Schizosaccharomyces pombe: one gene and its partners. The gene in region 3 interacts genetically with the main gene of each other region. Each region holds a gene or a part of one and is shown on either strand. Other genes may lie near its edges. The genes, in order: end4, myo1 and ubp9.

Region 1 (3,757 bases), on a different chromosome or scaffold from region 3:
ATCCAATTGTAATTTGCTAAGCTGTAACAGAGACTCGTCGACAGCTGCTTTTTGAATCTCCAGCTCTTCTTCCTTTTCCTGCAAAAGTTGGCGGTACCGATTTTCAGTAGACTTCAATTCAACACCTAAGTTGGCTAGCTCACGATCCTTTGAATGAAGAGCATCTTCTAAATGAGCAACTTCTGTATTATAACGACTAAGCAAATTTGATACTTCAGATGATTTATTGCGCTCAAGGGAAGCAGCCTTTTCCTGAAGTAAACGTAATTCACGCTCAGTGCTTTCTTGCTTGTCTCGTTGACTACGATGCATAGTCTCGAGTTCGTGACGAGCCCTGTCTCTTTCCAAAATCATATCAGCAAGTTCCAAGTTTTTATTCTTCATTTCTCTTTCCATTTTTTCTTTCTTGTCAATAGCCTCTTGCGCAGAACTTGCTTTGAGCTGAATTTGTTTATATTTCGAAAGTAAATCTAAGTGTTCCTGACGAAGTTGTGTATATAATTTGGCTAATGCTTCGTACTTGTTTTTCCATGTAAGAATCTGATTTTTTAAAGATTCAATAAGATCATCATTTTGATGTATTTGCTCCTGCAAGTTAACGCCAGCCTGGCTCAGCTCATTTTCAAGAGTTCTCACTCTAGCATCATATTGATTAAGTAACACATTGCTCTGTTCAAGTTGTCCTCGAGTAGCAAGAAGCTGTTGCTCAAGTTCAGCCAACTGTCCTTGTGTTTGCATTTGAAATTGTTGCTGAGCAAGTTGTTCTTGCGCAATACGCTGTTGTTCAGCTTGTGCCATTTGAATTGCCTCCAAGGCCTGCTGATGTTGCTGTGCGGCCATCCGTTGACGCTCCATTTCGGCAGCTTGCTGAGCTGCTAATTGAGCCTGCTGTGCTGCGGCCTGCTGAGCCGCTAACTCTGCTTGTTGTTGAGCAGCTTGCTGAGCCGCTTGCTGAGCAGCCAATTGTTGATCTAAAGTAGGATCAGACCAGAAATCTTGAATAGGTTCAGGTTCACTATAAGCCGGAGTAATGTCGCTAGTATCAGGAAAATTCATTTCAACCGGCGGAGATGGAGAAGTACCAGTAGGCTGAGGAGCAATGGTCGAGGCGCCAGTGGGTTGGGGAGCAATTGAAGCAGGTCTCTTAGGAAGATCAGGGATATTGTCATCACCTTCCAAATCGGGGGGATCATGTGGAAGACGAGGGACTGAAATGAGACTAGTCAAATATCGAAGATTTGAACAATCCGCGTAAAATTGACGAAGCCTATGGTGTTGTGACTTATATCTATGCTTCAAAGGTTCCAAAGTCTCTGGGGCATCAACTGTGCTATATAAAGCACGTAACATACTAGTTAAAAATCGATAAATACCATATGACTCCTGAACTAGAGGCACAAGGGCTGCAATTCTACATTCATTTTTATTTGAACGCTTGAAGTTAGAAAAAAGCTGTTTTTGAAATTCATCAATATGATCCTGAAGATTCATCATGTCGTATACAGTTTCATAACCTTCATTAGGGTCATCGACTTGCCTAAGACTAATGTATTCTTTATACTCAAAAGTACCATTAAATTCCGGATGTTGAGCATGAAAAGAAAGCTTATCAAGTAAATAATCCACATAATCACGAATTAAATCGCTATAGCCCTTTGGACTACTTTCACCATCATACTGTCGTTCACAAGTTTTAAGCCAGCCTTTCTCACTTTGAGAATCAACAAGTGCAGACTTATGACCTTCTTGCAAGACACGATGTATGGTAATTAACGCCTTGAAAGTTTGAACTTCGTTTGCAAGCAATGGCTGAACTTTTATAGCAGTCCAAAAAGGCCTGGCTGTATGATGATCCCAAGTGAAAATGATGCAGCTACGAACGTGCTTTCGCTTTGGGGCTGTTTCATCGATGCTAGTAGCCTTCCGCACGCTTGTCATCAACGATGCGTCTGACTGCATGTGATCGGATTGCAGTCGAAACGAACTCATCGTGTACTTTTCGATTTCTCACTTTTGGTAATTAAAAATTTGCCAATTCAAATCCTAACAATTTCTGGTAAAATACAAATATCGTAGTGCTATGTACAAGATTGTCTTCTGTCCGTTCTTACTATAGAAATTGGTTCTGTTTCAAAACTACGACATCCGTGTCCCGTACGAATTTTGATAATTACGAAGTAATTTGTCTCGCAAATATCAGCTACGTATTTCGGTATCTATTTTAACGATACTTAAAAACAGTATTGAATCTTCCTTGTGATTGTTATATTGCAATACGAGGTAATATAAGTAGCAATTGATGTAAGTATTCTAATACACATTATCTGTTACTTATCACTAACGTAGCTAAAAACCGATTCCCGTCCTCACTTCAGTTTATCTCAATATATAGTGTTAAGAATTTGAATGTAGTAAGTGATAGTTACTTTATCATAATTAGTAACCGTACCTTGATAACTTATCATGTCAAGTTGATAAATCAAAACAGTGCACTTGACATATAGTGACACGCGACGTAAAGTATCACAGCGTAGTATTGCGGACAGTAAAAAGTAAATAAAGAATTGCTACGCACCCTAGAATACGAAGAGGTTTACTAAATTTTAACTAAAAAAAAAAAATCCAATAACATGATGATATTAATATTTTTAGTTATCGATATAACCTTCTAAAAAAAATAAATAATTGTAATAAATAATACGTAGATGAATAAACTAGCAGGTGATAAGAGAACAAATGCCTGATGTATTTTAATTTCAAGTCCTTCACACCAATATTTGAAGTTATAATGATTTACCAGTCTAAAGAACCAAGAGTCTTCGTTAACATTTCTGCCTGTACTTTCGCATAATTCTCAGTTTTCGCCCTATCATAGTACACCTTACAGCTATTTGACTTGCAAAGAACTGGATCACTAGATGAAAGCTTACTGCAGCCTCGACAAATATCAAATAGCAAGGAAAGTTTTTTGTTATAAGCATTGTGCTGCGTAACAGCTTTAGAAATAGTAGCACAAGGATTTTTTAAGCAATCACTGCAGAGGGAGTTAATTTTATCAGGAATAATTTCAATATTATTCTTCAAGCAAGAAGAGCAAAGCTTCTCCATCAGAAAAGTGTCCAAAGTCTTTTTTTGAATACCTCCTTTCACTGTTTCAGTCAATTTTAAACTGGTACGTGGTTTGGGCATTTCATGATACCATGACTGGGCACTAGCCCCTAACAAGTTTAGAAATCGATCTAATGGAGGTATCAAACTATTGTTGATATAATAATTTATATCAAGTTGAGAAAAACTCGAAGACAGAAATTCTTCGGGTGCAACTGAGCGGTTCGCCAAGGTGGTACCAGGAGCAGCAGCGATAATCAAATATGGAACACGTTCTCCATATTGAGGTTCCCTCCTAGGATCTTTGGTCATCAACCGTCTAGCCATAACTGCTCCAGGAGGAGCAGTACTTAATTCTTTATATTTTTCTAGACGAACTTCTTTTGAAAAACAAAAATCCATAACAGGAACGTTTCCACTCATAATTTGATAACATACGTTCTGAAATTCTTTTTTGACCGTTGACAAATCCTTTGTCTTAAAAAGTATTTCAAGGCAACGACGAAGGAGCTGCTGTTGAACAGGAGTACCATCCCTTCGAACTGTCTCAATGCCTTTCGCTTCAAAAATTGGAGCTTTTTGACTAACTGATTCAAATTTGAACCCTACATATCTTTTTTTCGCTAACAAGAAACAAGGAAAGTAAATT
Region 2 (3,757 bases), 1.9 Mb from region 3:
AATGAATAAGGTTAAGAATATCAGTTGCTAACTGATCCTTATTCTTATCGGTCATTCCTGTAATGCTGTAGGTTACATCACCAGCGTAATGTTTGACTATAAATTGATTTTGTCTCTGTTCAAAATGTGGATTGGAGGATAAAAAGTTTAACCGCTGAGCAAAAGCACTATCCGCCGCAGCAGAGTCAGCATGAGCGGTAGCGATAGCGTCGTTCATTGCTGCGAAAAGACCAGGAGGTCGTTTGGATTCAATCAAATCACATACAACTTTATTGTTGAAATATTTGATAGGAGTCCAAGCAATTTGCTCACGCACGTATTCTTCCTGTTCAGTTTTCAAAGTAAGTTCTATAAAAATTTGTTGCAATTTTTCATTAACATAGTTAATGCACAATTGTTCAAAAGAGTTGTTTTCAAAGATTTCAAAGCCGTAAATATCTAAAATACCAATCGAATTGGAAACGCTGTTGTCTGATGTGACCAAAGCTTTGTTGACACGTTCGACAATCCAATCAAAAAGACAGTTATAAATCGCCATAGACAAAGCATCACGAACAGCCAAAGCTTGTGTTGGATTTAAGGGGACTTCATATACAGATCCGCGCCTTGCACCATGCTGAGTTTGCATAATACGAATTGTCAAGGCACGCTCAATAGCCGCAACAGGAACACCGATCAAATAGCCTAAAAATTCGGTGATGCTCTTGTCAGAAATCACGCTACCACCATCTTGGCCTTCTTGAAATTGAATATTTCCTAACCAAAGGATGATAGAAAGCATCCTAAATATTTCATCTTGCTCCGGCTCGGTGATACCAATAACCTTCATGGCGTTCATCGTTCCTTGGAAGTCCTTCTCATCTGAAATCCCATCAACCGACAAACATTGACAAGCAGAAGTGTAAACATAATTCTCCGGACCTTGAATGCCATATGTATCACGATATTTCTGAGGAGCGCTCTTGGTGAATTGATAGAAAATATGGAAATTACGCTCATTGCGAACTTGATTAACAATTCGGTTCTTTTCTAATAAGTAGTTCGTAATTTTAGCGCCGACAGGAACACCTCCGGAATTAAAAATCATTTCTAAATACTTTCCATGACGAGAAGAATTATTATTGCGAAGAGTTTTTGCACAACCAAAACTTTCCAATAAAGGATTGGTAGCTAAAATAATTTCGGAAACTCTTTCAATTTCAGTGCCAACGGACTTTGAAACATGTGTAATATATTGCATGATCCTTTTTGCAGCCTCAGTCTTACCAGCACCCGATTCACCAGAAATGATAATACATTGATTCTCATGATAAGACTTCATTTGATAGTAAGCGTTCTCAGCAATTGCATAAACGTGAGGGCTCGTTTCCAAACGGTTTTTTCCTTGATATGATTTCAAAATATCCATCGTATAAATACCCAGGTCTCGAAATGGATTTACAGAAATCAACACATGTCCAATATATGTATAAATCTCTCCATTGCGAAATCTCAGTTCCAAGTTTTTGTTAATTTCCTCATCTGTAATTTTCGAAAGTAGGGTTAAATCATCAACACCCACAGTCTTTTTGCGTGTGCTGGTATAAACAGCCTTTTTAATACCATTGCTTTTCCCAGTGCTATTGGGAGCAGCTGCAGTCGCAGCTTTCGCGCGGTTTGTTCTCTTAAGGATGGCCTAATTTATTAATTAGCTAACATTCGGCATGCATATTTACTTACCATAAAATCTATTCACTTATGGCCGAACAAGAGATAGGTTAACGACAAGTCCGCACTTACGTGTAGGTTTCTTCTAATACTGAGATAATTGCGTTACGGATCGTTAAAATGAGCGAAATATGAGTTTCTAGGTCAATATTGCCAAAGACCGTTCGAAACTTCAGACCCCAATTATTAAAATTGTACTTTAGCTGAAAATTGAATATACTTTAGCTTTCTGTCGTTTGCTTCATCCATTTTTGGTATTGACATTAAAACAATTACCTAGCCGAAAGAGGCTTGTTATGTAACATACTCGAACGAAACTTATCCAAATGTGTTTTAGGGTAACTTCATTAGGTAAGGTAACGAACACACTAAAGGTATGAAATTTGCGACTAATTATGATGAAGTGATAAACATAACGCGCTTGAATTAGTTAATACTTGATTTGATTATTGTGTGTTCATGTAGTCGATAAGATGAATTAAATGAACATGAATTTTCAATTATGAATATTTTAAGTCGAAGATACCTTTCATAAAGCGAGAAGTTTTGAAGTATTTTAGATATAACGGCTATCGCCGTTTCAAGAACCAAAGCAGCCGCAGATTATTATAACGCGACATAAAAGGTTGAATTCCCCAGCAAATACAACTGTAGTTCTCGTATTGACCTTGAGTATATTCTATGACAATTAACTTATTACAGATATTAGGATGTAACACAATATGAGAGAAGCTATATGATTTGCAGTAACTTAAACATAATCATCTGTTTATATCATTTATAAAAGAATACAAACAGTGATTTATAGACAACGTTTGTGAGTGCCATAATTAATTGAAATAACGGGGTTTATATATAATACCAAACTAAATGCACGAGATGAAAGCTAATCTACTTGCCTGTTACAGAGAAATACAAGGTACACAACTTTAGTAATGTCAGGATATCAAGTAGTGAGAACATGACAAGGCAGGCTCCTTTTAATTGCGAAATCGTAGAAATATCATAAGGAGCTAAATAAAGAACGGCAGGAAAGGTATTTACAACAAGAGTAATAAAACAGCGTATCAGATATCGATTTAGCGAAATATTAGACACATGATATACCTACTAAATCAGCATCCATAACAGCTTTCCCATTGTGAATTTAATCCATCAAGAAATTTAAAGAGTGGATAACATTCCTTATATAATTCTACTCTAAACAAATGCACCCAAGCTAAGGGCAATGCCTTGAGTTTTTGAACGAATGCGAACATGTCCTGAGATAGGACCGGAGACGGATTTTTCAACGCTAAGACTCATAAGTGCGTCTTCCCCAAAAATACTGCAGGCGTACAAATTAGCACTCAAAAAACCACAGTCACCACGCAGAGACGCGTCTGGAGTAAGACAGTTCATATTGGTTTTCTTCATTATTTTATGTAAGAAATCGTACAGACTAATGTCTTCGTTGGAAGAAATATCGACCTTGTTTTCCCATTCAAATTCCGTCCACATGCTACGGAATTGAGATTCGGGAATGAATGCGGGTTTTATATAATCAATAATGTTGACTGGAATGCCATTCAAAACAACAATTTTGTCTTCGTCGGATGCTTTACCACCATACACGATATTTCCAAAGATTACTGCAGACTCCGTTGAAGATACCTTTACCGTAGCCTGAACAGATTTAAAGGCATGAGGTCCTAAATTCATGGGTGGTGGACGCTCTACAACCTTAAGATCTCCCAACGTAGCCAAATCAACAGAGAGATTCTGTAACGTGGTATCCGTTCGATTAACCAATAATATGTCTAGAATAATATCAAATTGTTGTATCTTCACATATGCCTCACAGTAAACAGGATCTGTAAAACCGGCTAATTGTACGATATGATCTAATTTAGATGCCAAATCTTCCACTACCATACCATCGTTGGTGGCTTGTATGATGTCGGACTCAAAATTAAGATCCTGCTTTTCTTCAATGACCCTTTGAAATTGGCGAATATTCAGTAGCTCATCGGCTTGAACAGCATCACTTCCATTAACTAACAAATCTGCC
Region 3 (3,757 bases):
GATAAATAGAGCGCATGACTTTCAAAGTTGGCCAAAATTTCCAAATAAAGTCAAAAATATAAAGTAAAACGATGAGAGATGAAAACATTAAAAGAATTTCTCGAAAAGTGTAATAAAAAACACAAATAAGAATTCTTTACCTTTTGGAACGGCTTCTAGAGAATTGCCAAGGAAGCGTATGTGAGTGCTTCGACTCTGAATGTTCATCACTAGACTTGTGAGTATCCCTTAATGGTGAATCTTTAGGGGAGTTGCTTTGGGATGATCCAAAAAATTTACTTCTTTTTCGTGTAAGGGAAGGGAAAAACGAACGACTTTCGCGACGTACGGCTTTTGGAGAAGCATCAACAGATCTTGAATGAAATCTTTCTGCATCCAGTGATGGTTCACGATCAAAATAAGAACGGCTATTGATGTCTCTATCTAAAGTTTTATGAGAATACTGCGAAGAAAATGAAGCAACCATCGGATCCATATCAGGATATGTTATTGTCGAGTTTGATCTAGGGGTACTTGATAGATTCGAAACTTCCACGCTTTCTTGTTTAAGTTGACTTGGAATAGACATCGGCTTAATTGATTCCTTGGTGTCTACTTCACTAACATCATCATCTTCTTCATCAGCAGCAGTATAAAATAGAACATAGGCAGTAGCCTGACCAGGTTGATCACCAAAAAATCGTTGTAGGTAATTCTCGTTGACAGGAGTTACGTTCTCGTCATCAAAAAGGACCCAGCCATAAGTTTTAGTGCGAACGATAGACACATAATGACCACGATGTGGACCGCCTCCTACGTGAACAATAACAGAGGAAAGATAATACATTCTTTCAGCATTCTCTGCATCTTCGGTGGTAGTAAATAATCTCATTTCGTTGGTAAAAACAATAGTATAGAAGAGTTTATCATGGCCCTCCTGGGTTTCGTTATATTTAAAACGTTTCAAATGTAATGAGAGGATTTTCGGTAATTTTTTTATCTTCATTCTTTTTTCTGCTTCCTGCAAACTTTTGCAAACATCACAATGAAACTTATTTTTGGAGGACAACATCTCTGAAGCAGAAAAAGACCTTAAACAGGAAGTTACAGAAGTGTGATTTTCTATATCTATGCTAAGGTCTAAAAAGCTTTCATCCCTTGACGTTATGTTTTCACAAGTTAAACATTTCGTCTCGCTGGTAAGCGTTCCTTCAAACAAAGAATGAACCCATTTTGGATGCATCACGTCGGAATGATTACCGTAGTATTCATCAAGAGTTTCTGTAACAGAATTAAGAAGAAAATTAAAAAACTCGTGAGCATCTTGCTGCTGAGTACTGCGAAAAGCTTCATTGTCTCTACGTAGAACTTGGATAAAACGCTCGGGAGAACAAATACCATAACGACAATCACAGCAACTTACGGAGCAATAAAGATCCTTTAAACAAGTATATATGTTTTCTTTCATTCCATAAGCAGAACAATTGCTTTCGCCTACAACGATTTGATGCTTCGTCCCGGATTCAGAGCCGACGTTACTAATATCGACACAGCCGCAAGAATTTATACCATTGGACCCGTATAAAGAGGACTTCCTATTCTCCATGCTCTTTTTCTTACTGTGTCGTGAGGAAGATGATTCAGGATGGTTGGTTTTTGTACAAACGCTTTTAAAATTTGGAGGAGCACTCGGAAGAGGATACGAATTTAAAGAATCACGAAAGGGCTTTAAATGGTATAAAGATACTAAGACAGAACTCACGTAACTATTTCGTTAGAAATTTACAATCATAAAAGCAACGCTACAAGTATGATCGCCATACCATGTATTTCCATACTAAAAATATGTTAGAGCAGAAGAAATTATAACTAATAAAAATGCTTACATTTGTTAAACCATAGAATCGATCTGTTAGGGTTTCAGGGCGAATTGATGGCTTCGGCAACTCTGCTTCCCAAGTGCTTTTACGCCGGTCAGTGGAGCCTGGGGAATTCTATAGTTTGTCAGTCTTCAATTCATAACTAACAATTGAATTACCATTCCCATCCAACGAAGCAGCGACATGCTGAGTTGAACTAAAGGATGCTAAGTTTACAAACCAAGCACAGCGGGGAAGTGAACGCAAAGGGAAGCTTTCACGCGCTCAGAAAGGGGCGTACGTTGGTGATCATAATCTTAGGCTATTATTATATTAACAGCCAACTATCTAAAATAACGAAGTGCAATGTATTGTAAAATGAGCGATAAAACTCAGTAGATATTAAGTCAAAAAAGCTATAAATAAACCGTAACTAATTTTGGAAATGTGATCTGGTTAAACGAAGTATCAAATGTACAATAAATTAAAAGAAAGTAAACATCAGTTTGGTGAAATGGGAACAGATGAATTTCTGCAATGTATCAAAATTTACTCATTAATGCAAGTTATGTGTAATCGTAGTATTCACCATCCACTAACCTGTAGAAACCGATTTGGTGTTAGAAGATGGAGGATGATCTGCCTTTTCTGAGACTGTTTCACGTGGGATTTCCTTTGAAGGAGTGGCTTCTGCTTGCTCGTTCTGACTTGGCGTGTTTTGACGAAGAGTATGGAGCTCACGTTCAACTTTAAGAATGACTTTGTGGAGTTCGTCAAAATCCTTTTCGGTACTATCAATTTCCTCAGTCGAAGATTGGAGTTCATTCTTTTTCTTCTGTAAAACAAACTGCTTTTCCATGATTTCGTTAATACGAACGATTTCATGTTGTAAACCAAGAATCGCTTCAGCAACTTCATCTCGTCTATTCTTTTCCTTTCTACGAGCCCTCCATGTTTCAAATAAAATGGCTCCTCCAGCAACAGTACTGTAAATTGTTAGCAAGAGAAGAACATTGTGACAAGTTGGATTTCGTAGCTCCTTCACAATGTGCCGTATTAAGCATTGTGGAGAGGAAGTACGTCAAATCGTATTAATTTTCATACAATATAAAAGTTTCTGATAAAAATGTTGCACCAGCATCGACTGCTTTGGCATCGTTTAAAGGTCGTAATCGTACATTAGCTCCTCCACTTTTAGCTCTGTTAATTCCTGTTATTCTAAATTCCGCGCGATGCATCCATTGAGCAAATTCAATACATGCCTATATAGAAATTTCGTTAGTAATGCTATAAGATTCTCTTTATCATCTATTTTACTGATTTATACCTTTCGGAAAGCCTTGTGCTCTTTAGCTTGGGCTTTGATTGTATTGGCAATCGGTTTGGATAATGTTCTTACTAACAAGCTTCCGATTTTTAAGGCTAGAGAAGACATTGGATTGTAGAGAAATGTTAATGGATACCAGAACTTCAAAAATATTCGAGGGGGAATAAACCCGCAAAGGATTTCAAATTACCGACTAAAAGTACTACCACCTCAATTAAATAGAGGTATAAAAGAAAGAAATCTCCGATAAAATTAGAATGCAGATATAAGCGTGTAACAATAGCTAGGATATTTATGCAAGGTCGAAGATATACTCTTCCGTTAATCAATAGCAATATTTAAAACCGCAACACCAAGTGCGTGCTTTATTTTTTTAATCTATTAATTAGAAAAGTTATTGGAAGAGGAAAGTAAATTTGATGTTGCTGAACTTGATATGCATATTCTGTCGGTTTCTCTGATTGGTTTACTAATCCTTCTTACACCGATCCCTGTGTGTGCTTAATATTTTGCTTGTATTAGAAACTTTAGTGTCGCAGTTATCAATACTTGTCCTTAGTAGTACAGTTGTATTTTCATTTCTTAATGTAAC

Evidence for each region.
Region 1: mutations in ubp9 (region 3) and end4 impair growth when combined (synthetic growth defect), as found in Schizosaccharomyces pombe (one study listed by BioGRID).
Region 2: mutations in ubp9 (region 3) and myo1 are lethal when combined (synthetic lethality), as found in Schizosaccharomyces pombe (one study listed by BioGRID).

What each region holds. Positions count from the first base shown.
Region 1 is NC_003424.3:3,133,357-3,137,113, reverse strand, and holds the start of end4 (clathrin adaptor End4), read right to left. Parts: upstream 2,128-3,757; 5' UTR 1,990-2,127; coding exon 1-1,989. Other genes in the region: DNA polymerase zeta catalytic subunit Rev3, read right to left, coding at 2,794-3,757. UniProt on the Schizosaccharomyces pombe protein: Required for cellular morphogenesis and polarization of the cortical cytoskeleton. Required for establishment of new polarized growth zones where it acts in actin organization.
Region 2 is NC_003423.3:1,026,209-1,029,965, forward strand, and holds the start of myo1 (myosin I myo1), read right to left. Parts: upstream 1,766-3,757; 5' UTR 1,723-1,765; coding exon 1,720-1,722; intron 1,676-1,719; coding exon 1-1,675. Other genes in the region: coatomer beta subunit Sec26, read right to left, coding at 2,908-3,757. UniProt on the Schizosaccharomyces pombe protein: Type-I myosin implicated in the organization of the actin cytoskeleton. Required for proper actin cytoskeleton polarization.
Region 3 is NC_003423.3:2,934,498-2,938,254, reverse strand, and holds the start of ubp9 (ubiquitin hydrolase Ubp9), read right to left. Parts: upstream 2,104-3,757; 5' UTR 2,045-2,103; coding exon 2,018-2,044; intron 1,974-2,017; coding exon 1,866-1,973; intron 1,817-1,865; coding exon 1,803-1,816; intron 1,775-1,802; exon of another isoform or gene 1,746-1,774; coding exon 137-1,745; 3' UTR 1-136. Other genes in the region: mitochondrial outer membrane lipid metabolism regulator Opa3, read right to left, coding at 2,434-2,824, 2,943-3,100, 3,166-3,273. UniProt on the Schizosaccharomyces pombe protein: Ubiquitin C-terminal hydrolase involved in regulating actin dynamics and/or endocytosis at cell tips and septa.